Ovis aries: one gene and its partners. The protein of the gene in region 1 interacts with the protein of each later gene in a pairwise test. Links are inferred from orthologs where the notes say so. Each region holds a gene or a part of one and is shown in the gene's direction. Other genes may lie near its edges.

What was found.
Region 2: the proteins of DZIP3 (region 1) and ATXN1 interact in binary tests that used the Homo sapiens proteins (3 or more experiments, as listed by UniProt). The link is inferred for Ovis aries from reciprocal best matches to the Homo sapiens genes DZIP3 and ATXN1.
Region 3: the proteins of DZIP3 (region 1) and ZNF24 interact in binary tests that used the Homo sapiens proteins (3 or more experiments, as listed by UniProt). The link is inferred for Ovis aries from reciprocal best matches to the Homo sapiens genes DZIP3 and ZNF24.
Region 4: the proteins of DZIP3 (region 1) and HNRNPF interact in binary tests that used the Homo sapiens proteins (3 or more experiments, as listed by UniProt). The two-hybrid records come from large-scale screens. The link is inferred for Ovis aries from reciprocal best matches to the Homo sapiens genes DZIP3 and HNRNPF.
Region 5: the proteins of DZIP3 (region 1) and HNRNPUL1 interact in binary tests that used the Homo sapiens proteins (3 or more experiments, as listed by UniProt). The link is inferred for Ovis aries from reciprocal best matches to the Homo sapiens genes DZIP3 and HNRNPUL1.
Region 6: the proteins of DZIP3 (region 1) and ZCCHC10 interact in binary tests that used the Homo sapiens proteins (3 or more experiments, as listed by UniProt). The link is inferred for Ovis aries from reciprocal best matches to the Homo sapiens genes DZIP3 and ZCCHC10.

The regions. Positions count from the first base shown.
Region 1 is NC_056054.1:174,360,676-174,365,624, forward strand, and holds the start of DZIP3 (E3 ubiquitin-protein ligase DZIP3), read left to right. Parts: upstream 1-1,540; 5' UTR 1,541-1,707; intron 1,708-4,949. Other genes in the region: protein CIP2A, read right to left, coding at 1,118-1,219. UniProt on the Homo sapiens protein: E3 Ubiquitin ligase proteins mediate ubiquitination and subsequent proteasomal degradation of target proteins.
Region 2 is NC_056073.1:39,589,362-39,594,340, forward strand, and holds the start of ATXN1 (ataxin-1), read left to right. Parts: upstream 1-1,901; 5' UTR 1,902-2,182; intron 2,183-4,372; 5' UTR 4,373-4,482; intron 4,483-4,979. UniProt on the Homo sapiens protein: Chromatin-binding factor that repress Notch signaling in the absence of Notch intracellular domain by acting as a CBF1 corepressor. Binds to the HEY promoter and might assist, along with NCOR2, RBPJ-mediated repression. Binds RNA in vitro.
Region 3 is NC_056076.1:22,075,997-22,081,127, forward strand, and holds the start of ZNF24 (zinc finger protein 24), read left to right. Parts: upstream 1-1,772; 5' UTR 1,773-2,555; intron 2,556-3,741; 5' UTR 3,742-3,820; coding exon 3,821-4,240; intron 4,241-4,471; coding exon 4,472-4,619; intron 4,620-5,131. UniProt on the Homo sapiens protein: Transcription factor required for myelination of differentiated oligodendrocytes. Required for the conversion of oligodendrocytes from the premyelinating to the myelinating state.
Region 4 is NC_056078.1:13,134,870-13,139,239, reverse strand, and holds part of HNRNPF (heterogeneous nuclear ribonucleoprotein F), read left to right. Parts: intron 1-162; exon of another isoform or gene 163-350; intron 351-694; 5' UTR 695-3,684; coding exon 3,685-4,370.
Region 5 is NC_056067.1:50,021,191-50,025,560, forward strand, and holds part of HNRNPUL1 (heterogeneous nuclear ribonucleoprotein U-like protein 1), read left to right. Parts: intron 1-3,191; coding exon 3,192-3,360; intron 3,361-3,949; coding exon 3,950-4,234; intron 4,235-4,370.
Region 6 is NC_056058.1:42,240,833-42,245,831, reverse strand, and holds the start of ZCCHC10 (zinc finger CCHC domain-containing protein 10), read left to right. Parts: upstream 1-1,935; 5' UTR 1,936-1,947; coding exon 1,948-1,988; intron 1,989-4,999.

The DNA.
Region 1 (4,949 bases):
AAATAATGTTTCAGATTACAATCTAAAATTCTTAACTTAATTCTTAAAGAAAACAAGTATTCTTAGGAGACAGGCAGCTCAAGTAGTAAGAAGAGGAGCACCAGAGAACCTTGAGAGTTGTACACCAGTTAGAACAAAGGCTGATGTTGCTGGGCCATTCACAATAGCCTTCTTTGTAGCAGTTTCTAATCTTTGCAAATTTAGCCTTTTATCATAGGGTTAATACAACAAATGGGATATATTTTAAAATTATGTTCAATTCTATGTTGAGAAGCTGCAACACAGAATTAGGAGTAACTGAGCTTAATTACTTTTTATGAAACTGATGTCAATATTAACTGGATTTCCATTAAAGTATAACAAATGACAGCCGGAGTTTAAGAGTCTAAAAACAAACAGGATCACAGAAAGCTGTGATTTTATCTCTTAACACAAAATAAGCACATCTAGAGGAAGTAACGGGAAAAGTGACAACAATTCAGCGTTTTAGGACTGAAAAACTGTGAGCAATACATTCTGGTACAGAAAAAAGGTTTATGGTTACTAGTAAAGAAGATTGGTCCTCAATCCAGAGTAAATTGAAATAATAATTTTCAAGCTAAAAATTTTCAATAATTTTCAAGATCAACAGGAGTTCAAATTAAAGCAATAAGCAACAGGTTCAGATTGCAAATTGCCTAAGGGACAAGACATAAATCAAATTTTAATCCTTATTCTCTAGCATCTCCACCTCCGAGAATTGCTGTACCTCTGAAAAGGCCTGTTACAATGGAAAAACGAAAATAAGAAGCAAAGGAAAAGATACAGCTCGGAGCTCTTTCCTCTAACAACTCCAAACACGCTGAAATCCCCCACCTTTTGTCTCACCCTCCCTCTTCCTAGGGCTTTCAGTACTCTTTCCTCACTGCAGTCAGCTGAACGCGGAGAGGCTTGGGGTTGGGTGGGAATTCAAAGGTGACAATCACTCGCTTTCTATAGCAATACAAAAAGACAGCGGAGGGAGCGAGGAGTTGCCCTTTGTTTTCGAAGCTGAGACCGCTACCATCTCGGATACCAAGTGAACGAAAGCTACAAGGGAAGTCCGTCTCGTCCGCCACCCCCGTAGTCCCTTACTTACCTCCAAGTGCCGCAAAAGCTGAGCGGTGTTTGCCTCGGATTTAACGGCTTTATACTGACTAATGGTCAGAAGCAAAGACTTCAAGCAGGCGGTGGAGTCCATCCGGACCCGCCGTAGGGCGCTTGGAGCGGGTACCACCACCGTCCTCCAGCTTTTACCGCGCTTTTTTTGATTTTTCTTCTCCACCCCCTCGCTCCCGGAAGCTTCCGATTCCGGTTGAGCTCCGGAAGTCCCTTGGCAACTTGAGGAAGGCACCCTACGAAGGAAAGGGAGGGCTGGGACGGAGTGATGGAGGTGGGGGATGTCGAGGCCCAGTATGAGTCCGTGAGGCAGGCTAGTAGTTGTCCTTTTAGACCCCCGATCTGAAAAGCCGCGAGGTTTTAGTTCGAGATCCCGTGAAGCTGAGAAATCTCGCGAGAAGTCAATTGCGGCTCCACTGGCGTAGGGGGCGGTTGGGTAGCAGGGGGTCCCTATTCGTCTGTGGGCCCTGTTTGCGTTTACTTCCTTGGCCTTGACCGTGGGTGGCCAGTTTTTTCTTTGTGCGTCATCCTCTACCTGAGAAATGGTCGCTTTCCCCTAGTCTAGACACGGTGAGGAGCTCTGAGGAGGAGACTCTTGGGTTCTAGATTTTGAGGCGGCCCGGGAGAGGCCTGTTTTTAAAATCGCTTGTTTGTCCACCGCTTCTACTGAGGAATGTTTGTTTCTCAGAGTAAACCTGTGGCCGTTCGGATTCGGTGGCAAGTTAGTCATGCGCTTATGATAGTCGTTGTCAATTTATTTGAGAAAGCTGGCCCAGGTGAATCCTGTGCCAGGTGTTGCTCCGAAGGCTGTTCTTATTAGCGTCAGTTTTGTAAGTGAAGGTGTCTGCTTTTATTTGACGTGATTGATTGCTTTATAAATCTTGGTGTCTAAGGAAATGGCACTGTTTGTGGTTTTTGTTCAGAAATAGTATTATGCATGTGAATATCATGAAATGAGTCAGACTGGTTCTGGAGCTTTTTTGCTTAATGTATGCTATTGAATGAAGCTTTAAAAGCCAGTTTGGAGAAAACTGTAAGAACTGGGTATATATCCTTTTTATTAAACCATTTGTCAGAAATTGTGTTTTGTCAATTCAAAGAAAGCCTATTTTGCGTCACTACATTTTTAAAGACGAATTATTTTTATATTAAAAAGCAATTTCATTCTGAAAGGTTAAAAAATTGAGGCATAAATCATTGGGTAATTAATGTGTTTATGTATTTATTCATTCTGTAAACAATTATCGAGTGTATAAAGTAGGCTAATCCTGCTAGTTAGGGACCCTGCTGGGAAGGAATTAAATGTACTGGATAATAGTACATACAAAATTCACCAATTAGAGGCATCATCCGGTTATGGTAACGAGTGGAGCTAGGCTGTTTGCTTACAAATCCTAGGTCTACCTTTTGCGATGTGACCGTAGGCACATTCTCACTGTTGCGATCTCATCTTGAAGTAAAATCTGACTAACAGTAGCACCTATTTCGTAAGATTGCTCATTTAATAACTAGCTGGAGCCTACAGTGTGCTAGGCATTGGTCTAAGCACTAGATTCGGTTAATAAAAATCCTATTGTTATGAAACAAAAATCCTACCATTACATTCTGATGGGAAAAACAGTAAATAATAAGCACAGTAAGGAAAGGGAGATGGAGGAAAAGAGAATTACTCTTCTAGATTAATGGTTTAAAAAAGAGAAATGGGAGGTCAGGATAGAGAAAGCTCTTTTGAAAAATACTTGAAGAATCGAAAAAGACCTGTGCTTTCTAAGGGGAAACATTTCTAGATAGAATAGCAAGGGGAAAAGCTTTGAAATGGAGCCTGATAATATAAGGAAGGTTATATTATCAAGCCAAGCAAGGACCTTGCTATGGCTGGAGTAGAAAGCGAGGGTGAGAGAGAGTAGTAGAGATGAAGTCATGTCAGGTTATTAGAAAATGAGCTAACCAATGAGGAACAGTTGTCTGGCATAATTATGTTCTCAGCAAGTGTCAGTTACATCTTAGGTCCTTGGCAATACAGTGATAACAGTTTGACAGCATTAGACTTTTCATTCATAATGATAAGTGCCTCACCATTGTCCCCATTTAGATCTGAGGGAAAGGGTCAAAGCTGTTTGTTCAAAGTGCTATCCTTTGAAAGCTTGCATTTTAGCTTGAGGAGTCACACACATTTTGCATCTCCATATTTATTTTAATGTAAAATAACATCTTTCTAAGAAAATCTTCACCAAAAATTGAGCTGTAAAAAGGTCTGATGTCTTTTGTCAGAGATACTTGTGTATCCCAATATGAGAAACAGAGCCATATTTTTAAGACCCAAAAAGGGGAAAAGGAGGAGGAGGAAATGGAGCTGGGTCCAGATGACTGAAGGCTGTACTAGCCTTTGAGCTGGGACTCTATCTTGAATTAAGTGATGATCTCTGGTTTCAAACTGGGTCCTGCAAGTTAGGTTTATGTTTTAGATTGATTACTCTGACACTCTGAGGAAGATAAGCCCAGAAGTAGGGAGAATATTTATTTTACTGGAGTCTTTCCAAGGGATGGCTGAGATAATTGAAGTGGAGTTAGCAAAAAGGTGACAAATTTAAGAAATATATATGAAGTGAAATAGGACTCTGAATGATTTCAAATGGACGAATGAGAGGGATGAAACTAGAAGGGATTCCAAGTTTCTAGTCAGGCTGATAGAGAAGATATAGAAACTGCTGAGGTAGTCAATATTTTAAGTATTCACGTATTTTATGTTCGGTGAAATATTGTATAGCTTATCATGTAGTCTTGTACCATTCTCATTAAACTTATTCCTGGATCTTATATAATTTTTGTTACTGTGAGTGGGTTCTCTTTTTCCCCTAAAAATTTTTAGTTTGTTTTTGCTACTGGTAAAAGAGAAACTGATTTGTGGTATATCTTTTACTCAGTTTAGTGACTGAAATATCCTTATTGATTCAGTTTTGCTTCCTCTCTTAAATTTTCTAGCTATGTATCACCTGAAAATAATAATTGAATCCCTTCCAATATTTGTTGTCTTACTTTATTTCATCAGTGTAATTTCTAAAATATGGAATAATCATAATGATACTGAACATTGTTACTTCATTGAATGAGAATGACCAGTATTTTAATGCTTTGTATAATTTGTGCAACAGTTGCCAAGAGATAAGTATTCTTTAAAATGTTTAGGCAATACCAGTGTTATTTAAAGAATGTCTGCTAAAAAGTTATCAAATATTTATATATCTTATTTTTCCCTTTAAAATGGTAGCGCAGCTGATTGAACATTTATCATATGCCAACCACTGTTTTAAGAACTTAGCTAATTGATCTTTATAATATCATGCTTTACGTACTGTTATGATCTCTGTTATGATCAGATGGAAAAATTTGAGAGAGGTGAAATAATTTGCATAAGATCACACAAGTAGTAGTAGCGAACTTTGTATTTGTTGTGCTGCAGATATTTTATTCAGGGTTTTATATTTATTTTTGGGAGAATTTAAGATAGCTTTTTCTTTATTCTCTCTTTTGGAATTTGGGTTGTTTCTTTTGAAAAACGAATTGGAAATTTTCCATCTGTTTTTCTTTGCTGTAGATTAATGAGAGTCACATAGGAATCATCTGATTCTTGTAGATTATGTACAACTAACCTATAAAATCAAGTGCGATAGCTCATTTAGTGGTAGATTTTAGAAGACATTTGAATTTATAATATGGTTATTGATCTGATAATTTTTTCTACCTTTTCTTGAGTTAACTTTGGAAATAAAAATTTTAGCATACTGACTATTTCTCTAAATTTGAAAATATAT
Region 2 (4,979 bases), on another chromosome or scaffold:
AACTTTTGTTTATTGTTGTGGTCATGGCTAAAAGACCAAACACACATCCAGAACTGATTACCGATATGTATCTATAGAGGAAAGACAGTGGGCCATGCATGTAAATACAGGCAAGAAAGAAGAATGCAACGCATCTGTTGCCATAGCTCTTGTAGAAACGGCGTCTGAATTTCCTGGGGCTGTGGTTAAAAAAAAATTGGGTGGCTTCAAACAAGAGAAATTTATTGTCCCACAATTCTGGAGACCAGAAGCCTAACATCAAGGTGTCAGCAGGGCCCTGCTCCCTCTGAGGCTCTAAGGAAGAATCTTTCCTTGCTTCTTCCAGCTCTCCGTGGTTGCTGGCCATTCTTGGCTTTCCTTGGCTCAGGGCAGGAAAGACTGCCTCTGTCTTCATGTCGTCTGCTCCCCCTCCCCCATGTCTCTTCTGTGACTCCTGTTCTTAGGAGGGCAGTAGTCATACTGGACATAGGGTCCACCCTAATCCATTAAGACTTTATCTCAACTAATTACATCTGTGCATGCTAAATCACTTCAGTCGTGCCTGACTCTTTGGGACCCTATGGACTCCTCTGTCCATGGGATTCTCCAGGCAAGAATACTGGAGTGGGTTGCCATACCCTCCTCCAGCAGATCTTCCCAACCCAGGGAGGGTTGAACCAGCGTCTCTGGTGTCTTCTGCATTGTAGGTGGGGTTTTTTTTTTTTTTTAATCACTAGCGCCATCTATGTGGAGAGACTCTATTTCCAAATAAAGCCATACTCCCTGCACTGGGGACTAGATGTATCTCTCCGGGAACAAAATTCAACCCACAACAATGGGAACTCTCACGGAGAACTGACTAGTGAGGGGTGCCACATAAACGGAGCGATAAAAGGAAAACAGTGACATGTGAAATTGTAAGTGGAGGTCAGACGGGTTTGGGAGTAACAGGAAATATTAGATAAGAGACGCTCTCATTTAGGAGACTCTTTCCATCTGTGCTTACGGCCCTGATTTTTTTCTTTTCTGTCAGAGTTAAAAAAAAATTGTATAAATAAAAAGAATAAGAAAATAGCACTTCGCTGACTCACACATTGGGCAGAACCACAAACTCCTGTGATAATCAGGAAAGACTTCGCAGAAATGTTGGTGCTTGGGTTGGATCCTGGAGGATGGGAATAAAAATTGCCCTGCAAAGAAGGGCTTCCCAGGTAGGGAGAAAGTATATGGAAAAGCACAATGTTATTTAGGCGATCCACCCTTTATGCCTTAAGTAGGGTGAAGAGTCTCTGTAAGGAAGGCCCAGATTGTCTGCTTAATCTCTGTTACTAAGAAATGGTATTAAAGAAAGGAAGGGGCAGAGATGTTTCTGGTTTTGATAAATGCACAAATCAGCTCACAGTAACCTGAAAGAACACTAGGAGCATCTCTAAGGGGGAGTTCGTTCTTGGACACATTTGCCAAAGCACAAATATGGAAACCCCGCCCTCAGCCAGATCCGAAGAAATCAAAAGGCTGATGTGGTATAAATTCCTCTGCCCTGATTGCATAAAGGAGATGTGCCAACATTTTTTTCTCTGATATATTCCTTTCTGCACAGAGAGCTCAACTGGATTCTTAAAAACCTGATCGTGAACTGAGATAGGCAATTCTGAATCACCACCAGGATCTAGGAAAATTAACTCCTCACTGATCTTCCTAGATAAGCTCCCAATCTCGCTGCCTCTCAGATCAGCACTGGGATCTGGCGAGGTTTCTGCCACAGAGCAACTCCCTTTTTTGGCATAAGAATGTACAGGATGCCAGTAAAGTTCACGCTGGGTCATCTAAGTCTCTTTAAATGCGCGATGATTCATTGCTGGGGGTGGGGGCGAGAGGAGTGAGGGGGAAGGAAGTGCTGAGCTGAGAGGCGGAGCGAAGTCATTATGAAATTGACTGCAGAAAAGCTGGCGCTGGGAGTGCTGGGGTCACATGGTCTTACTATTGGTATTTCAGCTACAAGTTTTAAACCAGAGATAGGGGGAGGGGTTGGGAAGCATCACCTTGAAGCTTGATCGGCTTTCAGAGGAGATGCCTCCGTTGATGGCTGGCATGTTGATTAGAATTACAATGGGGGTATTAATTTCTCTTTTTATCTGACAGAAAAAGAAAAGTTCTCCCATGACAGTATGGCTAGCAGAACAAGAATCTGGCTGTAAGTGGTGTAAGTGAACCGTTTGTCTTTTTCTGCTTGATTTACTGGCATTCTAGCTGACAGGGTCCTCCATTCTGTGCGTTCATTTTTGTACTTAAAAAGGGATTGTTTGTAATTTACAGTTGAAGTCTGAGTGCTATTAGTCTGCTCGGTCAGCATGGATAGCAGGAGCAATCGCTCCATGTCAGTGCCAGGGCGCAAAGCAAATTTGGATCTTCAGTGGTCAGTCTTGAGAGCTCCCCAAAGTTACCCAGCAGTTAAACTCTGGAGCGGCCCTGAAGCACAGGGCTTCTGCAAATAACAAACTGCCTGACAAACCCTGCTGAAATCCTGACACGGACAGTTTCCTCTAGTTGTTTATGTCAAAAGGCAAAGTTTGCCAATGCATTTTTCTCTGGCTCTTCCTCTTTGGGGTAAACTTGGTAAATTCCTCATAAAATAATTGTCTTAAACTCTGACCTGCATTTGGATCAGCTTTTCCTAGCCAAAACTGACTCAAGAAAAACAAAGGCACGGTGAGAGCTTATAGCTATGTATTTTAATGTCTTGAAGTCAGAATAACAATTTGATGGCTATCATTGTCCCTGATCTTAGTTTGAAGGCACCACAAGCTTTACCTTCACAACCCATCAACTGCCTCTATCTTAAGTGTAAACAATGGTGGCTTTGGGCTTTGGTTTTAATTTGGAAAATGTATTTCTTTTGAGGAAACAAAATGCCAAGTTGTTAATGACGTGTTTTTAATAGATTTCCAAATGCTCCTGGCCAATACTGAGCAAAGTTCAACTCACTCATTCTGAGCCTTAAAATGTTGTTCAATTTCATGTAAGAAGAGCTATGTTCTATAGATGCATAAAACCACAAATTCTGTTATTTTATAAGTCACTGCAGTACATTCAATGTTGATAATAGTTATATTGATGAAAATGTATCTAGGTCTTGCTTGCAAAATAAATGGTAATGGTTAAAATTCATCTCATTTCCTTTTGACATATGCTATTGTAGTAAATATATTAGAAATTGTTTAAAAAAAAACCCACAGATTTCCTTTTGGCTTTGATTTGTTTTCTAGGGAAGCAGTAACTGTATACTTTTCATTATCCACACCTAAATGGCCTAAAGCCATTTCTTATTAAAAGATGTCACCCTCAACCATTCAGCTGTCACTCCAGAAAGCGTGTGCTTTCTAAAACACAGAACGAGTTTTCCATCAGCTTCCCAGGGTGGCAAAGTATCTGAAGCCTGTCCCTACCCCACCCTGAGAGACTGACTCTTAACAAATTTTTAGTCTAACATAAAGCCTAACAAATTTTAAGCCTAGCATATCTCAGGATTATGCCTTTACCAACAGCTTACTCTCAGAGATATTTTAATAAGGGGTAAAGTGCATGTTGGGCTTCCCAGGTGACTCAGTTGGTAAAGAATCTGCCCACAATGCAGGAGACCTGGGTTCAATCCCTGGGTCAGGAAGATCCTCTGGAGAAGGGAATGGCAACCCACTCCAGTATTCTTGCCTGGAGAATTCCATGGACAGGGGAGCCTGGCAGGCTACAGTTCGTGGGGTCCCAAAGAGTCAGACATGACTGAGTGACTAACACTCACTTTTCAAGGGCAGTGTTATACACTGCAAGGGGGGAATCTCAGGAAGGTAGAAAAGTAACCAAATCACCTACTACACTACTGCAATAAGATCTCCAATTATGGTTCTTAGAACTAATTCCTGCACCTCCCCAGCCCCACTGACTTTACTAGTGCTGTGCATTAGAAGCATAATGGACACATGTCATTGTAAATCTTATAGTAGGCACACTAAAATGTAAAAAGAAACAGGTAAGTTAATTTTAACAATATTTTTATGTAACCTAATATATGTAGAATATTTTCATTTTAACATTTGATCAATATAAACATTGAGATACTATATGAACTTATGTGTATATATGTGCATGTATGTACATGTTCTAAGTCTTTAAAATCCAAGGTATATTTTACAATTACAGCCCATCTCAAGTGCTTAACAATCATATTGGACAGTACAGACCTATGCTAAAGCACTTGTTTTTGTTTTCACTGTAGACAGAATCTTATTTAAAATTGCCTAATATGTGTACTATTAAGTCATAAACTGTCAGCAGATGTTTAAACACAATGATTTTAATTTCACTCTTGACCATTGCTGATGTCACTTTCATTACCCAGAAGCCTGTGCTGCTACAGTCTGGTGGAGGGTCAAGAAAGCTGATTCAGAAGCATGTCTTTTAAGAGTCTCCATGCCAAGGACAGAGCCCAGTGACTTCAGTTTGGGTGTGGTGAGTTGACCTCAGAGTCTATTGTGTGAGTGGTTTTCACTTTTGTTTTTAGTTTATTTTACTTTTCTGGTCTCTCAGCTTTATTTGGAAGTGCAGTCTAAGGAAAGCATATTGGTTTTGTAAGCACGCTATGGTTTGCTCAGATTTTTAAATGATATATATAGGCTACCACTCTCCTTATAATACCATGGTTAAAGAACTGTCAGTGTTTCCACCAGCTTTGGGGGTTTTATTATACAACCATAACAAACTGCTGCAGGTTGAAATTTGGCAGATCTTTCTTTAGCCTGGAGGAAATTCTTTTTAACAATTTTTTAAGAAAAGATATAAATTATTAAATGCCGACCATTTAAATTTACTGTGATTTTTTTTTTTTTGGATAGGCAAGGATATCAGATAAAACATATGTTGTATCTTTACATTTCGGTTGTTTTACAAATTTAAAATATTAATATTAGCTTTATAAATAACTTTGGCTGATGATTTACACAATTGCC
Region 3 (5,131 bases), on another chromosome or scaffold:
TAGAGGAGTGCTATACCATCAGCTGCTAACTCGTGAGCTTTCTCATTCACCAGTCCAGCAGACTGAGGGCTCTTTGCAAAGGGAACTTTCCCAAAGAGGCAGAAAGCTGAAGCCTGAGGATCTTGGAATGCTTCTGAAAGGCTGGACCTGCACTTCTAACACAGACCTTAAACAACAGGGCTCTTTCTTTGTGGTTTCTTAGGCCTGACATGTGACTTAGCAAAAGCAGCAATCTGAGCAGCCCACACTTTATTCATTTATTCAACAAATATTTACCGAGTTCTCTAGTCATTCCTTAAGGAAATCAACTCTGAATATCCTCTGGAAGGACTGACACTAAGCTGAGGCTCCAATACTTTGGCCACCTGATTCGAAGAGCTAACTCATTGGAAAAGACCCTGATGCTGGGAAAGATTGAAGGCAAAAAGAGAAGGGGGTGACGGAGGATGAGATGGTTGGATGGCGTCACTGACTCAATGGGCATGAATCTGAGCAAACTCCAGGAGACAGTGAAGGACAGAGGAGCCGGGGTGCTGCAGTTCATGGGCTCACAGTCAGACCAGACTTGGCAACTGACCAACCACCGTGTAGCAGGCAGTCAATATCCTGGGATTACTATGTGGAGATACTGTGGTGAATAAGGCAGGCACAGTCTCTGCCTCTATGGGTCTTATGGACAAAAGCAAAACAAACAAACAAAAAAATAGAGAAGTGAATAAATGAGATCGCTTCTACCCAGTGCTATGAGAGAGGGGAGGCTTCCAGGAGGAAAGGTGGTCAGGAAGGCTGAGGATCCAGACCACAATGAGCCTATAGAGCTGGAGAGTGGGGGTGGGGGCAGGGAACAGACTAGTGGGGCCTTACAGGAAAATGTAAGGAATTTTTATGTCATAATTAAGACAGTAGGGGAAGATTCCCCTGAAGGAGGAAATGGCAACCCACTCCAGTATTTTACCTGAAAAATCCCAAGGACAGAGCAGCTTGGCCGGATACAGTCCATAGGGTGGCAAACACAATGAGCAACTGAGCACAAGCAGGAGTAAGGCAGTTAGGGATCCATTAAACGTCTTTACATAGGGGAATTAAGTTGTCTGATTTCTGTTTTTAAACGATCACTTTGGCAGCTGCTTTGTAATATAAACTGTCAAGCCTCAAGTCAGAAAATGACCACGCATTCTGCAAATTCAGTGTGAGCTCACTGCCAAAGCTCTTGGTTAAGAGTCTCATCTTGTTTCCCTGACAAGTAAACTGGTCATAATAAAGTTGTATGGCATAGCAAGTAGGAGGCAAAGGTGAGAGTCATGCCTTGGTTTCAAATCTTGTTTCCCACTCACCAGTTATGAGCACTCCGCAAGCTATTTACTTGTGCCTCAGTGATCTCAGCTGTGAAATGGGAATAACAAAAGTACTTACTATCTCAGCGTTGTTGTGAAAATGAAATTACATGTAAAGCACGGTGACAGTGCCTGGTACAAAGTAATTAACATTCATAAATATTCATAATACTTCTTTCAGAGAACTACTGTGACGATCACATGAGATAATGCATGTGAAAAGGCTTATGAAACCGTAAAGACTGTCTTAGTGGCAGAATTCTTTCTTTTCCTTGTCTTTCAAGCGGAACCCAGAAGGCTGCGATACCGGGGGAGGAAGGCGCGAGGCCAAGCGCAGCCTCAAAGCAGTCATTGTCGTTGGACAGCCCTTCCCCCGGCCCAGAGCACATCTCCATGGCAACGTGGGGCTTCGCCTCCCCCCCGCCTCCTGGGGCCCACAGACCGGAAGCAGTCCGCGCCGGGGGCTGCTGGGAAACGGCTCGTGAGCGGCGTTTCTGCGTCGGCCGAGGACAGCGAAGCGGCTGTGGTTCCCGAGCCCGAGGTTTGCGCGAGTTGGGGGGAAGGGTGTGAGAGACGCTGGCCTGGGGGCTGCAGACTGCTTGACAAGAGTCAGCGAAGAAGCCTGGCGGGAACCTTCCTCGGCTTCTCCCAGAGGCGTGGGGGACAGGCCGCGGTCTCCGTGCCCGGCACTTGTGGGACGGGCAAGGGAAGACGAAAAGCCAGATCGGGCTTTCAGCACCCTCGAAGAGTCCTCCATCCCTTGTGTCCTTCGCGACCCCCGACTTCCCCTCCCCCATCGGCCGGTTTTGTTCTATTTCGAGGCCCTGGCATCTCGCGGAGAATTCTGGGATTCTTCTCGGGCGGAGGTGGGAGTGGGCGGGCCTCGCGCGGGGCCTGCTGGGACTTGTAGTTCAGCTGGCCGCGGGCGGAAGTGCCGCGGCTCGTTTGCTGTTGTGGCCGGGTGGCATTCGGTCTGAGGAAAGCCGCCGCCGCGAGTGCAGGGAAAAGGGGCTGACGTCGTTGGGGTGGGGGCGCGGTTCGAAGCGGCACTCTGCAGGAGTGCGTGGGGAGGTCACTTGGGACCGGGCTCTCCGCCCAAAGACGGTCGGGACCGCGGACCTGCGCTCCCCGCAACTCCTCACATCCCACCGCCAGAGTGCTGTTTGAGAACGTAAAAGGAAGAGAAATGTCTTTTCTGTAGAGTGCTTGAGCCGTAGAAAGGTAGGGTCTTGGAATAGAAACAGATCTGTAGGCCAAAGCTACGTGTTTATAAGGCCGCCACACTCCAGAGTATTTAATTAAACTTGTGTGTATGTTACCTGATAAGATCTTTTCTGATTCCTAGTTTTGGTAGGGTTACAGGAAGTTTTTGGAAATTAGCTTTCGTATTCTGGGGCGTATATGGGTACATTGAGCAGCTGCGTGGCTCATTCTTAACGGGTGTTGTAGACAATGGCATGGGCATGACTGTGCAAATACCAAGGAAAGGATCAGAAATAGCACAAGGTTTCCATGAACGTAGTAGCTGGGGAGATTGTGAGTCATTCAGTGTCAGCGGAAGAATCTGCACCACAAAGGTGTTACGAGAGTTCTTTTTTCCCCCTAGAATTTGCTGATTAATGCCTGTCGTTCCTAATTTAAAGGTATTTATGGTGTGGAGGGTAACTGAAAAATAATTAAATTTTATGGCACATAGTGGTTCCTTTTTTCCAACATTATTATCTATTCCTGACCAAGTGAATTTTTTTAACGTGTATTTAAAGTCCTAGGAGTTCTTAAACATTTAAAAAATAACTGTTAAACGTTTTGTGAAAAAAAGTTTTTTTTAACAGATAGTAAAAAAGCAGTCCCTGCTTTTGAGATGACCTAAGTGTGTCAAGGAACACCAGTATTGAATTGTAGATAATGTGTTCAAGGGTCAGATGCATTTAGATAACACTGAGAAGGGCTGGTTCTTAACTTGGATTCTTTTGATTGTTGAAATAGGTTTTGTTCATAGGTTGGCAAACTTTATCTCTAGAGGACCAGGGTAAATATTAGGTTTCTCATGCCCTATAGTGCCTATTGCAACTACTCAACTCTGCTATTGTAGTGTGAACAAATGAGTAAAATTATTTATGGAGACAGACGATTTAATTTCATGTCATTTTCACATGTAATGGAGTGTTCTTTTGATTTTTTTCCAACCATGTACAAGTGTGAAAACTATTCTTAGTATACGCATTGTACAAAAATGGGCAGCTGGCCAGATTTGGTCATGAGCTGTAGTTTGCAAACTTCTAGTTCAGGTTATTGATTGGCATTTTTAATCTAGTAAAAGAACACATTTTTATTTCCTTTAATCAGTCTGTGTCCAGGTTCTTAGAATATTTAGTCATTTATAAATTTTTCATTTCTTGTGCCTCAGGAGTGCCTGTGAAGAAAACTGGGTATTTCCCTAAGGTATCTTGCCTTGATTGTCTTTCCTTGAAGTATCACAAATCAGGATGTCTGCACAGTCAGTGGAAGAGGATTCAATACTTATCATCCCAACTCCAGATGAAGAGGAAAAAATTCTAAGAGTGAAGTTGGAGGAGGATCCTGATGGTGAAGAGGGGTCGAGTATCCCCTGGAACCATCTTCCTGACCCGGAGGTTTTCCGCCAGAGGTTCAGGCAGTTTGGATACCAGGATTCACCTGGGCCCCGGGAAGCTGTGAGCCAGCTTCGAGAACTTTGCCGTCTGTGGCTCAGGCCAGAGACACACACAAAAGAACAAATCTTGGAGCTGGTTGTACTGGAGCAGTTTGTTGCCATCCTCCCCAAGGAGCTACAGACTTGGGTTCGAGAGCATCATCCAGAGAATGGAGAGGAGGCAGTGACGGTCCTGGAGGATTTAGAGAGTGAACTAGATGACCCTGGACAGCCAGTAAGTTTCCTGTTAGGAGTACTGGCGTAGCAGTATTCACAGCTTCTGAATTAGTTCCACTCAACTAAGTTAGAATTATGTTTATGCTTCCCCTCCCCCCCCTTCATTATTTATGCTGCTTTGCCCTCTAGGCCTCTGCAGCATATGTTTTGTATGATTTCTTTGGTGTGTGTTTTAGTTTTGATTCTCATCAAATTCCTTCTCAACTGAACCAATTCCTATCATTTCCAGGTTTCTCTTCGTCGACGAAAACGGGAAGTGTTAGTGGAGGAGATAGTATCTCAAGAAGAAGCTCAGGGATTACCGAGTTCTGAGCTTGATGCTGTGGAAAACCAGCTGAAGTGGGCATCCTGGGAGCTCCATTCCCTAAGGCACTGTGGTGAGGACCGGAACTCCGTGTGGGCTGGAGAGTGAGAGTGTGGATCTTTTGTCCAGAACTCTGCGTATTTTTACTGGGAGCAGGGAGGGAGAATAATCGCCTTCACCTGATTGCTTAGACATAGACACATTGTAGGATTTCTATTCTTATGTGATAACAGTTGGTTTGCTAACCTTGAGTCTTTTATTCTTCAACATAACATCATCAACCTTTTCTTTGCTTTTATGTCTTTCTTTGAAGGCCTGCCCATTTCTGGTGGGCATTTGACTTACTCTGAGCCATAACCCACCTCTGTGGCTTATTTGCCACCTGTTTCACATCCTTCCAGTCTCCTACCTAGTCTCTCTGGTATAATAAGCTTACTTCTTCAAATCTAGTTTTTTTTGTTATCACCAGAATCTTTTCGTATTTTCAGCTTTTTTGTTTTTTTCTTCAACATAAGTACAGAAAAATTAAATGGAAAGATCGTTCACTAATGCCGTTCTTTCCCAGCATCTTGGCAGTTAATGCCA
Region 4 (4,370 bases), on another chromosome or scaffold:
GTGGCTGTGGTTGATGGTAGATTGATGTTTTTCCTATTTTAAAACATTTCAACACTACCTCCCCTCATTCTCAGTTAAAAGAGCAACGTTATATATCAAATACAGGTCTCAATGAAATTATTAAAAACAGGGAAGGAAAATCTTTTTAATATCTCCACTCAGATCTCCAGGGATGTTTGCAAATTGTAAATACTGTTAACGACAGTTATAGCAAACTACTTTTGCCCGGAGCACATCATTGTGAACTCGGCCAGGTCTCAAGTGCTGATCAGCGGCCCGACTCCTCTCCTGCCTGCTCGGCCCGCCTTCTGCTTCCGGGAACCGCTCCTCCCCGCAGCCCCGCCCAGGAGGTGCGCCTCCCACTCTAGATATTTAAATTTTCTTAACCACGGTTAGGGTTTTCTGTAGGGAACGCGCCTTCTGAGTAAATCTTTTCAGGGCAAGTGGGATGGTTCCAGGCTGTTATTATCTGTATTACCCTATGAAAAAGATAAACCTTTCCAAAGCTGGTGGGGTGGGGCGGGAGTGTACTTTCTTTAAGGCAACCTGGCGCTTAAAAACGGCTTGCCACAGCCTCGGCTCTCACTTTACTGGAGAGGAGCTCAGAGCCGGTCCCAGCCAGGGGATTGCTGCCTCTGCTTGCTCCGGGAGTGCTGGGGCATTAAGATAAAATTTCCTTGTCGCTCTTTTTTAGGACGATTCGTTACCTACCTGGAGTGTCTTCGACTGTGGGCATCCCCCGGTGTTCTTTAAGGTGAGCTATTTTAAGAAAATCTCTCAGTTTATAATTCATTTCTTGATGCAGAAAACTTCCTGAGTTAAGATTTTTTTTTCACTAGCTGTAAATCTAACGTTGAGCAGAAAGCCAGCTCTTATTTTCACAAGTTTTATTTAATATTCTAAGTACTGAAAGTCTGCGAAGAATCCAAATCTAGAGGATTCTGAGGTCAACAGTAAGGATATTGCTCTATGTATTAGAAGTACATATGTGTTTTGGAAAAGTGCTTTTTTTGCTTTATAATTTCTGTTTTGGGCACTTTAAATAATTCTTAAATATTTGTTCTTTTATGCTTCCTGTCTTCCCCTCCCCCCTTCTGCTTGTCTTTTTTAACCTAACCAGACTGCCATATTCTAGAAGGTAGTGTTGGCCCCACGTGGCCATCAGTTAATCTCTTGCTAATCTTGGGCCTGCTGTGCTGGGGGTGGGACTACAGTGACCTACTGAACAGATAAGTCTGTTGCTACTAGCCTCTCAACGCAGTTGCAAAGAGTTTTAAACAAATTATGAATTGTTTCCCTAGAATGCTCTGGGATCATAGAACTATAGATTTAATTTGCGGGGGGTGGAGGGGGGAGAAAGTCTTGTGGAAAAGTTAAATTTAAGCTGAGAGTATAAGGATTAGTGGGATTTAGCTAGACAGAAGATTGGGTGGGCTATCTTCAGACAGATAATTACTACATGTGTCAATTCCAGTGGAACAGAGAGCCTGCCACATTTCCGGCACAGAAATACAGGAATAAAGGTTTGTTTGCTTTCTAATGCAAGTGTGTTTCAGGTCAAAGTTTCAAGGCCTGAGCACCCCCTTGGCCCTATGATTTGTGTTCCAGACAGTGGGGAGCCACTGAGGTGTTGAAACAGTAGAATGACATAAAATTACACTCAAGAGAGCTACAGATTGGGCTGGTAGGAAGGACTGGAAAAGTTGTAGATGTGAATGTCTTGGAAAGGGCTTGTTGGTACTGGAAGTAGAAAGGGATGAAGGTGATGCACAGAGATGATGATGATTTGATATTCAAGCAGTATGCTAAGGACCAAGATAGGAGAAATCTCTATACTTGCTGGAGTCAAGAATTACTGAATAGAATTTAGGCATGGATTAGGAGTAGGATTAGGGTGGAGAATGGGATCACCCCCCACAAGGAAATAATGAGCTCATTAGATTTAAGGGCTTGCAAGTTGTTCAGAGATTGCTTCAGTTTCATTCTAGAGCCTTTGGATGGCAAGTAAGGCCATTTATGCTTCAGGATACTATAGAAGAGTTTCAGAAAAAAGTGGTGTTGATTTGTGGTACATAGGTTGAACTATGGAATGGAGTTTGTCTAGGCCAGTCTTGGCCTCGGGGAAATCTTAAGTCTAGGAACCTGTGTGTCCTGAGCCCAGAATTGACGCTGGAAATACAAGGATCAGGTGAGGTTACCTGCAAAAATGGGGCCAGTGATTGTGTATGGTTAAACCTTGGTGAAGGACTCAAAGAGGCAGAGTACCTAAGGAATTAACAGGAAAACCAAGAGCCAAGAGGAGAAAGGATTTCCAGCGAGAATGGTTAAATCCTGTGGGCACAGAAGAGATGGAGATAAGAAAATGTTTCTTTTCTTGCCATGGAGATCCTTGGCAGAGTGACATGTGCCCTAGTTTAATGGTAGGGTAGGGAAGGACGTGTAAGAAGCCTTTTTGAGGATGAGATTTCACTGAAAGGGAAAGCAAAGCCAAGTAGCTGGAGGCAAGTTGGTATAAGGAAAGATAGTATCCTAGGGGGTGATTAGAAATGAGAAAATCTCCTTAATTGATAAGGAAAGTAGTGTTCAGTGAAGTTTGTATGAAGATGGAGATTCCTTGGGGTGGGTGGAGTTGACCAGGGCAGAGCCACAGATAAGAGCTCAGCTACAGAAGAAGCAACTCCCTTGTTTATAAATTTCTAGAACTTGCTCTGATTTGCTTCACCAGGTCTCTGTTAAACCAGTTTTCTTTTCTTTTTCTTACCATTCATGCTTTCTGGTTTTGTGGGGTTTTTAGAAATCTGTCCATGTTTTGCTCTAATAGTGTAAATATGTCATGCCATTTGAGATAGTTTTAGGATTCATCTGAGGTAAGATTCTGTTTCATCTTTCTGCGTGATAATGTGCCTAGATTTTTTTGAAAAGGCACCTTTTACCACTGACTTAATAGCTACATCTGTTATACTTGATATCAAATGGCAATTCGATAAAACAACTTTTGTATACTTGTGCCTGTTCTGAATATATTTTTGGCCTTATCTGTATTTTTATTGTCTGTGTTATTCGTATATTGGTGTCTGACTCAGCTCCTGCTTTTCAAAATGCTGCCCTTCGACATGGATTTGACCTTTACTCTTTTTTCAGCTTGGACTCTGGGTGTCAGATGCCACTTATACTTCATGGCACTTTGTCAGGAGGGGCACCTGTCATGCCTCTTGTACAATGAAGAGTCTATTCCATTTCTAGTCCCTCAGTGAAACACAGCGATGTATGTGTTGCATTGAACAACGTAATGTGTTTTATTTTGTTTTTTGGGGGGGGGGTCATGCTGTGCTGCTTATGGCACTAGGGATTGAACCCAGGCCATGGCAGTGTGAAACTGAGAGGCATATAGTTTGATTTCTATGTTTGCATCTCATATAACTGATACTCTGCTGATGGACTTACGTGTTTGTTTGGATATGTCTTAATTTTACCATGCGCTTGATTGGGGTTTTGAGTAGACAATAGGACTTCTCACCTACTGTCTTGCCTTTTACTTTAGTGATTGCAGTAATGCAGTCTGTTTTCCTTTAGTTTCATATTCTTGTTAAACATATTAAATGAAAATTTATGTAGTCTTTGCTTTCTTTTCAGCCACACAAAGCTGCACCCGGGCTTGTTTGACGTCTGCTCTGTCGAGTGTCCATGATGTTGGGCCCTGAGGGAGGTGAAGGCTTTGTGGTCAAGCTCCGTGGCCTGCCCTGGTCCTGCTCTGTTGAGGATGTGCAGAATTTCCTCTCCGACTGCACGATCCATGACGGGGTCGCAGGTGTTCATTTTATCTACACTAGAGAAGGCAGGCAGAGTGGTGAGGCTTTTGTTGAACTTGAATCAGAAGATGATGTAAAATTGGCCCTTAAAAAAGACAGGGAAAGCATGGGACATCGGTACATTGAAGTGTTCAAGTCCCACAGAACCGAGATGGATTGGGTGTTGAAGCACAGTGGTCCAAACAGTGCTGACACTGCCAACGATGGTTTCGTGCGACTTCGAGGACTCCCGTTTGGATGCACCAAGGAAGAGATCATTCAGTTCTTCTCAGGGTTGGAAATCGTGCCAAACGGGATCACATTGCCTGTGGACCCCGAGGGCAAGATTACAGGGGAAGCCTTTGTGCAGTTTGCCTCACAGGAGTTAGCAGAGAAGGCTCTAGGGAAGCACAAGGAGAGAATAGGGCACAGGTATATTGAGGTGTTCAAGAGCAGTCAGGAAGAAGTTAGGTCATACTCGGATCCCCCACTGAAGTTCATGTCAGTGCAGCGGCCAGGGCCCTATGACCGCCCTGGCACAGCCAGGAGGTATATTGGCATCGTCAAGCAGGCAGGCCTGGA
Region 5 (4,370 bases), on another chromosome or scaffold:
GTGCTGGGCCAGCCCAGGGGCTCTGACCTCACTGTGTTTGCTGTGGCAACAGCCACCAACAGCTAACTCCCTTCCCTCTAGGAAAGCCAAGTATTTGCATTTTTGCTGGTGTGGCTTAGATGCTATTCTTCCTTTCCCCAAGCCAAGGAGTGAGGGGAGGGAGGTGCAGTCTCTAAATCGTCACCATGAGGGTTCTCAGCACCTCAGCTCTGAAGTATCTGAGGAGCCATCCCTTGGTGTCTAGCCACTTCCCAGGATAGAGGCCAGCTGTTGAGGAGTTCCGTCTGCTCTTCCCCATACTTCCCATCAAGAAGCTATGGGGACTGGTCCCTCTGGACAGCAATGCTTCTCCTCTCTGTCTTCTCATCAGGACATGGACAGGGCGGGTCTGCTTCATAGAAAACCCCCAAGAGGCATTTATCCACGTCCTTGAGGTTCAGAGGAATCAGATAGGATCACTGATCATTTCTTATGGGCAAGCAAACAGTGGAATGAGTTGTCCACTGTTCATCAGTTGTCCACAGAATGTCTGGGGCCACACTCACTCCTGGCTCATCTGGGTTGTGTGCCAGGAGGAAGCTTCTTTATTTAGCTGGAAATCAAATTCTATCTTCCTATGACCAGATGCCACCTGATTCGCTTCTAGGAATGGAGCCTGGGAAGAGCAGCGAGGAGAAGGACTTGACTTTTCCTTTGTAACCAGTGTACTTTTTCACCGTTTGTGTGGCTAAAGGCACAGATGACTGCATGTGTATGCCTTCACCTCCACCCCCAATGAAGGTTGAGACATTTTCCCTGGGAAACAAGGAAGACCCTCTAACTGCTGTGTGTGTCAGAGCCACGGGGTCGAGTTGGTTTAGAGAATACCCACTGACCAGATCTCCCAACAGGTGTGCACTGCGGTCCCTGGCCTCTGGCTGACCCACATCCCAGCTTCTGTTCCTCGTGTTTTTGGAATAGGCTCTCTTGTGTTTCATCTTCTCCTCAAACTTAACTTTCCCTGATGCTCCCTACTGGGAAGCCTCTCCCAGGACACCGTCAGTCCTGCTGGCCCCAATTTCAGACTTCTTTCCCTGCCAGACATTTCCACATCTGCAAATCCCCACCAGAGCCAGGGGGAGGGTGGTAGGATCTCCGTCTTTCAGATGCAGAAATTTGAGACTCAGACTAATTAGGTGGCTTGTCTACATCCTCACAAATAGAGGGCACAGCTGCGATTTCAACCTCGAGCCTCTTCCCCAGAGTCTAGATTTCTACGCTGACTTTGTCCTCCTGATGGGAATCACCGTAGCTGGACTTTCACCTGGTCCAGGTTGCTTGAACTCAGCCATACCGTGAGAAGAGCCAGTGCAGCCATCCAGTGATGGCCACCAGCCATCAGCCATCTCACCAACCATGACCTCTGTTTGCTGAGTGTCGGCTGTGAGCCAGACCCTGGACTAAGCAAGGGCTTTACTCGCCTGAGCTCCTTCAGTCTTTGTAGTGACCATATGACTTTCCTCTTATTTCCCCCTTTCAGGGTTTGAGACTTAGTAGATAGACTGAGGCTCTGAGAGGAAGTCACTCACTCCGGGCCCTGTGGTGTGACTTAACCAGGTCACCTTAGATCTGGGGTGTGCGAAGCCTCTGCCCTGCACCACTGGTCTCTCTCTGGGCAGCTTCCATCCTGGAGGCCACAACGGAGCCCCTACTCCAGGGATCCCTCACACATGGTCAGTTGCTTTGTGGCCCTTTTTCCGGTCAGTCTTCACCAAGTCCAGGAGAGAGGCTTTTCTCCCGCATTTCATGGATGAAGCAACAACACGGACTGGCTGTGGTGAGCGAGTAGCCACACTGGAACTCGATGCTGGGCTTTTTCCACCCCACTAGGCTGCATCTTCAAAACATAATATTTGTTTGTCTGTTGGTACATGCAGGCCTCTTTACAGATTTGTTCCCCGCTGTGGCTTCTCCCCTGATTACCTTTCAGGGCCACTGAAAGTTGTTTAAATGCAGCATTCCTTATCACTCCAGTTCTTTTGTGTGTCAGAATGTGAAAAGGACACCCGTATGTGTGTCTGGGCTCCACTTCAGAGACGGGGGTTGAGGAAGACCCCTGTAGGGGGGTTCCAGCTGCTGTCTTTTTCAGTCGTGTCCAAGTGATTCAGGTGCATAGGCTGAGTCCTTGGACCACTGGGGTTTGATAGATCTGGGCCCCAGTCCCAAAGGGCCCAGCACGCGGGAGGTACGCAGTGAATGGGAGCTGTTGTGCTCTCAGTCAGGTGTGTCCTAGAGTATCACTCTCTGCCAGCACCAGGCCAGGATGCACCTAACCATCTAGAAGAAGCAAAGAGGAAGTTACTAGCAAAACTGCACTTCCAAACAGCACAAGCTGTTGGCTTGCCAAGCACCCTAATTTAGAAGCCTGTGGGTGCAGCTGGTGTTTCAGAGCAGGACTAAGGGGATAGAATAAACAGTGTTGATGAAAATGATCTACACAGCTGTCAAAGGGACTGGTTAATCATGGCATCTGTTCTACAAATAATAAAGGAGAACACCAGGGAATTCCCTGGCGGTCAATGGTTAGGACTTGGCATTTTTGGTTCCTAGGGCCAGGGTTCAGTCCCTGGTTGGAGAACTAAGATCATGCAAGCTGCACAGCGTGGCCAAAAAAAGGGAGAGCACCAGCACAGAAAAATGATAAATGTTGAGTGAAAAAAAGGCTTCCAAAGAGTGTGTGTTGTTTGATTCCATTGGTTTTAAGACTCACACAGATACTTCTAAAAATACATAAGAAATTCAATGCAGGTTTTATCTCTGGGAAGTAGGAACAGCAGCAGTAGGTGGATGAAGGGCTTCCTACTCTATACACCTTGTACTCTGGATTTTTTTTACAGTAAGCATATGCTACTTTTAGAATAGGGGCCAAGAGAGCTGTAATGTACAATACCAAGAACAAATAGGATTAAAAAGCAAAGCTCAGACATTAGGAATCTCCTGTCCTGTGACTGTCAGCAGCCACTTTCCCAAGTCACTTCGTTTTCTGAGGGTAGATTGAAGAATCTTAGAAGTGAAGAAGGAGCAGTTTCCTGAGTTTCTCTGCTTAGGAGAACTGGTATCCTTTTCTCACTCCTTGGCCCACATAATACCCTGCAGAGGAAAAACCGACTTGTAATGTGCCACCTCTTGCCTCTTCTGATACCTACCCCTAGACAAATGTTTATGGGTCAGCCCAGAGACGAAAAATGAGACCATTTGAAGGCTTCCAGCGCAAAGCCATTGTAATTTGTCCCACTGATGAGGACCTGAAAGACCGAACAATAAAACGAACTGACGAAGAAGGGAAGGATGTCCCAGATCACGCGGTCTTAGAAATGAAAGGTAGGAGATGAGTGATTCCCAGGGGGGCATCATGGCAAGGCCCTTAAGGGGAAAAGTGTCTTACCCCGTTTTTCCCGACCCAGCTGCTTGAGTATTCTTTTTTTGAATTTGTTCTTTCTTTGCTTCTGCTTTGTTCCTTGCCTGTGTAGTACCGCTGTGACTGAAAGAGCCGCCCATACCCCGGTGGGGCAGGCTTTTCAGATTAGATGGGGCCGGGGCAGGGTGTGGGAGACCTGCGTGGCCTTCTGCCCCTGGCACCCACTGGGTGGGCTGGCTGAGCAAGCCTCAGTGAGGCATCTCCATAATAAACAAGGATGGTGATTCTCCTTGACTGGCTTGTTCCTGGGGTATCAAACATCGGTTTGGTAGAATTTAGTCACCTCTTCAGAAAAAGGAGAAGAGGGTCATTGTTAGCCCCTGATTGTTGATTGTAGGCAGAGCTTGGGACCCTCTCTCCTCTGTTGCTCACACTGCGGTCCCCTACTCGTCCTCCCTTCTGGCAGACCAGTGTCCTGGGGGTGAAGGAGACTAACCCTCGGAAGGTGCTGACCGCCTTTCCTCTCCTTCTGGCACCCTCCCTTCCTCCTAGCCAACTTCACGTTGCCTGACGTTGGGGACTTCCTGGACGAGGTGCTGTTCATTGAGCTGCAGCGAGAGGAAGCAGACAAGCTGGTGAGGCAGTACAACGAGGAGGGCCGCAGGGCTGGACCACCACCTGAAAAGCGCTTTGACAACCGCGGCGGGGGTGGCTTCCGGGGCCGCGGGGGTGGCGGTGGTTTCCAGCGCTATGACAACCGAGGTCCCCCAGGGGGCAACCGAGGAGGCTTCCAAAATCGAGGAGGAGGCAGCGGTGGAGGAGGCAACTACCGAGGAGGTGAGACATCTCACACTGAACTCTCCTGCTTGTGGTTCCGGGGTCAGGGTTGACTGTTTCCTCAGTCAGCAGATGACATTTCCTTGGCACCAGCTGTTGGCTGAGCCCTAGTAGAGAACTGAGATAAAGTCTGGGG
Region 6 (4,999 bases), on another chromosome or scaffold:
TATTTTTCTTCAGAGTATTTATGCTCTTTGGACATTGTGTTTGTTTATTGACTATAGAAAGCTCCATGTGTACAAAGATTTTGTTCAGTGGTCTGCCTTCAGTTCTTAAAACGTTTTAGGTGTTCAAGAAATATTAATTGAAAAAAAGAATGGAAACTTAGAAACACACACACACACATATATATATTGAAAAGTTATATATGGGAACGTCCATGTTGGTCCAGTGGTTAAGAATCTGGATTTCAATGCAGGGGACTCAGATTTGATCCTTAGTTGGAGAACTAAGTTGGGATCCTTAGTTGGCGATCCAACCAGTCCATCCTAAAGGAAATCAGACCTGAATATTCATTGGAAGGACTGATGCTGAAGCTGAAACTCCAATACTTTGGCCACCTGATGTGAAGAACTGACTCATTTGAAAGACCCTGATGCTGGGAAAGATTGAAGGCAGGAGGAGAAGGGGACGACAGAGGATGAGATGGTTGGATGGCATCACTGACTCAATGGACATGAGCTTGAGTAAACTCCAGGAGTTGGTGATGGACAGCGAGGCCTGATGTGCTGCAGTCCATGGGGTTGCAAAGAGTCAGACATGATTGAGCGACTGAACTGAACTGAACAGAGGAACTAAGATCCTACATGCCTGGAAGCAACTAAGTCAGAACTTTGCAACTATTGAGCCCTAGTGCTGCAACTAGAGAGTCCATGTACTGCCACGAAAGATCCTACATGATGCAACTATCACCCAATGCAGTCTAATTAATTAATTGAAAAGGTATGTATGTTTCAAACATCATGCATTTAAGGGAATACATTTCCATGATCTGATACTAAATGCTAAAATATCCTTAAATAATTAATATTTGTATAATTTTTTTCTAGTTGACAAAGCAGTTTTACCTGTATAACCTTCTAACATCACTATTAATAAAAATATGATTATGTATGTAACATAAGTAATTAACATATATGTACACTTCATAGTTTGCTAAAGTCACTCTTTTTAATCATTGTATTTCTTTAGTTTTGTCTGTGCTGGATCTTCATTGCCGTGCATGAGCTTTCTCTCCTTGCAGCGAGCAGGGGCTTCTCTTGTTGCGGGGCACAGGCTCTACGGCACTCGGGCTTCAGCAGTAGGGGCAAACAGTCTCCATAGTTGCAGCTCCTAGGTTCTAGAGCACAGGCTCAATAGTTGCAGCACATGGGCTTAGCTGCTCTGCCGTCTGTGGAATCTTCTCCCATCAGGGATCAAACACGTGTCTCCTGCCTTGGCATGTGGATTCTTTACCACTGAGCCACCAGGGAAGCCCCAGCCTTTTTCAACTGATAGTCAATCTTGTTCAAATTATTACTTTAAACTTTGCTATCCAGACTACTTCTGGTTTCTGAAAACTACAGTGGGGCTTCCCTGGTGATTCAGACTGTAAAGAATCTGCCTGTAATAACGGAGACCTGGGTTTGATCCCTGGGTTGGGAAGATCCCCTGGAGAAGGGAATGATTACCTAGTCCAGGATTCTTGCCTGGAGAATTTCATGAACAGAGGAGCCTGGTGGGCTACAATTCATAAGGTCCCAAAAGAGTCAGACGCGACTAAGCAATTAACTTTATTCGTTCATGTATATAAAAATGGATTTGTATATAAAGATGGATAGATAGATCCCTCATTCTACAATGTTCTTCCCAGCTTCTCCAAGCAATATAAGTGGACTCGTCCTTCAGAACCCTTGTTCAGATTAGTCAGTTGGCCTCATTCCTCTCCCTCCGACTATAGACTATGCAGGTAACACAACACACCAGGCCCCAACCCACTATTGCCCGAAAAGCAGCGCCAGAGCCTAGCCAGGACCACTGGCTCCGCCCACGCCTACGCCCTTCAGGGTTCGAAGTCCCCGCCCACTTCGAGGAGTTTCCCAAAACCCAGCGCGGCCGTCGCCAGCCGCGCTAAGATGGCGACTCCCATGCATCGTCTCATAGCCCGGAGACAAGCGTAAGTTAGGACCGGAGTTGGGCGGCGGGGCGGGCTGGGGGCGGAGAGAAGCGCGTCAGCGGGCTATTGAGCGGTGCCGGGAAGCGGGGTTGGTGTCGGATCCTCAGCTTGGCCTGGCGGAGGGTGGCCGTTTTTCTTACACGTCGCCTGCCCACAAGGGGCTCGGGCCGGAGCGAGAAGTTTGATGTCTGTGCACTAGCGATTTCGTGGAAGACGGCTGCGTAAGGCCACTGGGCGGGACCTAGGGGTGACTGAAGAGAGTCTCGCGTTTGGTTCCCGCGAAGGGGACGTCCAGGAATTGGTTACTAAGTGATTTATGCCGATTTGCCCAACCCAGCCGGTGGGCAGCGGTGGGCGCACCCCAGAGTGACCAGGCGAAGCTTGTAGCCCGCATCCAACACCCCTTATTCTCGCCGACGTAAACCTTCAGCTTCCTGTTCAACCTCCAGGCCAGCTGGCTTTTCCTGCCCCATTGTAATCGCCTTACCTAGGAACAGCCTGACTTTTCTCCCAAGCTATCTTCTCACATTCTGCCATTCATTCTCTAAGAGATACTTTGGGTGTAAGAAAATGTTCAAGACAGAATATTTGCTTTCAGGAAGCTTACATTCTGTTGGTGGAAAGAGTCAATAAACTAAACATTTTAAGTAAATGCAGTTGGATAGTAAGAGCTTTGAAGGAAATGAGATGGTGGAAAAAGAGAACGGTCCAGGTTAGGTTGGTTGGACTGGAAAGGCATCTCTGAAGAGGTGGGGTTTGAACAGAGATGGAAAGTGTGAGAAAGGAGTCAGTCGTGAGAGGATTGGGGGAAAGAGCATCCAGAACAGCATAATTAATTTGAGACAGGAGAGAACTTAGTTTCTAAGAACTGAAAGATGTCCATTGTGGCGGCTAATGAGCGAGAGAAAGGCACGAGAGTGTGAACAGATAATGCAGGAGTTCGTGTCATATGCCCCTTTCTTGTACAGCCTTTTTTTTTCTTCTACCAATCTGCACACCCAACCAACATTCACCACTTATTCACTCTCAGCTTTTCATGCCATCACTGTTTGCCTGTTTATAATACATCACTTAGTCTGCTGCAGTGTGTATATTTGTATTCCTTTTTGTATTTATAGTTTTTTTTTTTTTTAGTTTTTTTTATTCTAAGAGTCCTGATCCTTTTCTTCAATCTTTGATCAGACTCTGCCCCTCATGCTGGATGAAAAGAGTTCCTTGATCATAAAGATAAAGACTTACAGAATCAGAGTGAAGTAGTAGTATGCTTGGTGGAGGAAGAAGGCTTTTCCAAGATGGTTCTGAGATCTAGAATGAAGTAACAGTTCTACTTAAATAGATATCCACTTAAATGGTGTTACCAGGGTCTAATGTCTCTCAGATTTGCTCTTTTGGATGTTGGTTCCATACTTGGATAGATCACTCCTTTGGTCCTAAAATGGCTGCAGTATCTAGAGTCCTTTGTATCCTGTCAGCTTCAAGCTGATAGCATCTCATTGTCTAGACTGGATTACATGCCCTACCCTAAACCATGTCTGTGGGAATATGAAGTTCTGATTAATTTGGATCTCATTCTCTTCCCTTGTGGCTCAGCTGGTAAAGAATCCGCCTGCAACACAGGAGACCCCAGTTCGATTCCTGGGTTCAGAAGATCCCCTGGAGAAGGGAAAGGCTACCCACTCCAGTATTTTGGCCTGGAGAATTCCATGGACTGTATAGTCTATGGGGTCCCAAGGAGTGGGACACGATTGAGACACTTTCACTTTCATTTTCTCTTCCCAGCATAATTGAATGGGTCTTTATAAACAGTGGGTGGATAGGTCAGAGGACGTGATGATGGCTAGATTGACTAAATCAAACAGTGTCCACTTTTGAAAGTAAAACTTTTAATGCTTTTAGCATAAGTTTTAGAGTATCACAGAGTTAAACAAATGTTCCATTTCTTCAGTATGCTTGTATTCAGTACATGAGCTACCTAGGAGTAAAAAACAAAGCTTTAGGAGCTTCTGGTCTCAACTGGGAGGAAAACATGGTGTGTAACAAAACCTGTCATGGTTTAAAGGCTGTCAGGACAACTCCCAGGGAGTTGGAGACCGAGGGCCATTAGAGGCAAGGAAAGTGCAGGAAAATTTGGGGAATATTTTGGGATAGAAAGTAAAAGAGGAGCTTTTGCTTTTTATTTTATATTCATCAAAATGATTTGTTTATAAAGAGCAGATAGCGCTTCCATAAGAACAATTTTTAAGCTACAAGTTATGAGAAGTGAGAAAGTACTATTGACATTGTTTTTAAAAGTTTTTGGACCAAAGGAGGAAAGGGGGAAAATTTGAATTTCCCATTCAGCAGATCTTTTAGGAACTTAACTCTGAATCAGATTTAACTCAAACACAATTGTATGCAGAATGACAAGAGGAGAACTGATGCCCAGGAGACTAGAGGAGTGGGTATTAGAGCCCTAAGCCACTCTGAATGTGTTTAAGGCACTTGACCCAGGTGATTTCGTCCCCAACATAACAGAAAATTTCCAAGTGAAATGGCTGTAGCTGCTGGTAATCTGAGGACTTCTGGCCAACAGGAGTGACGCTAAAGGACTAGAAGTAGGCAAATGTTTTGATTTTCAAAGTGAGAAGGGTAGATTCCACAAACTAGACTTGTGAATTTGATATCCATTCCAGGCAAAATTCTGGCTGGATATATTAAATCTGTTCAGAAGTAAAAGCCAAGTTCATCAGGTATCAAATCATTACAGATTGATACCCTTATTGCCTTTTTTAAGTATTTGGATTTCAATGCGGCATCTTGGAAAGTCTCTCACAGTATCCTTGTGAACAAAGCAGAACTATTAGGTACATTAGTTGAAGATCATGAACTGAGAGTATTGTTTAACGGGTTTAAGTAAATGTACATGGTGGCCTCAGTGTGGTACTGTTTGATCTTGTCAACAATTTTTATAAATGACTTGGATGAAGACACATGTGCATGTTTATCAAACCTGCAGTTAACACAAAGTTAAG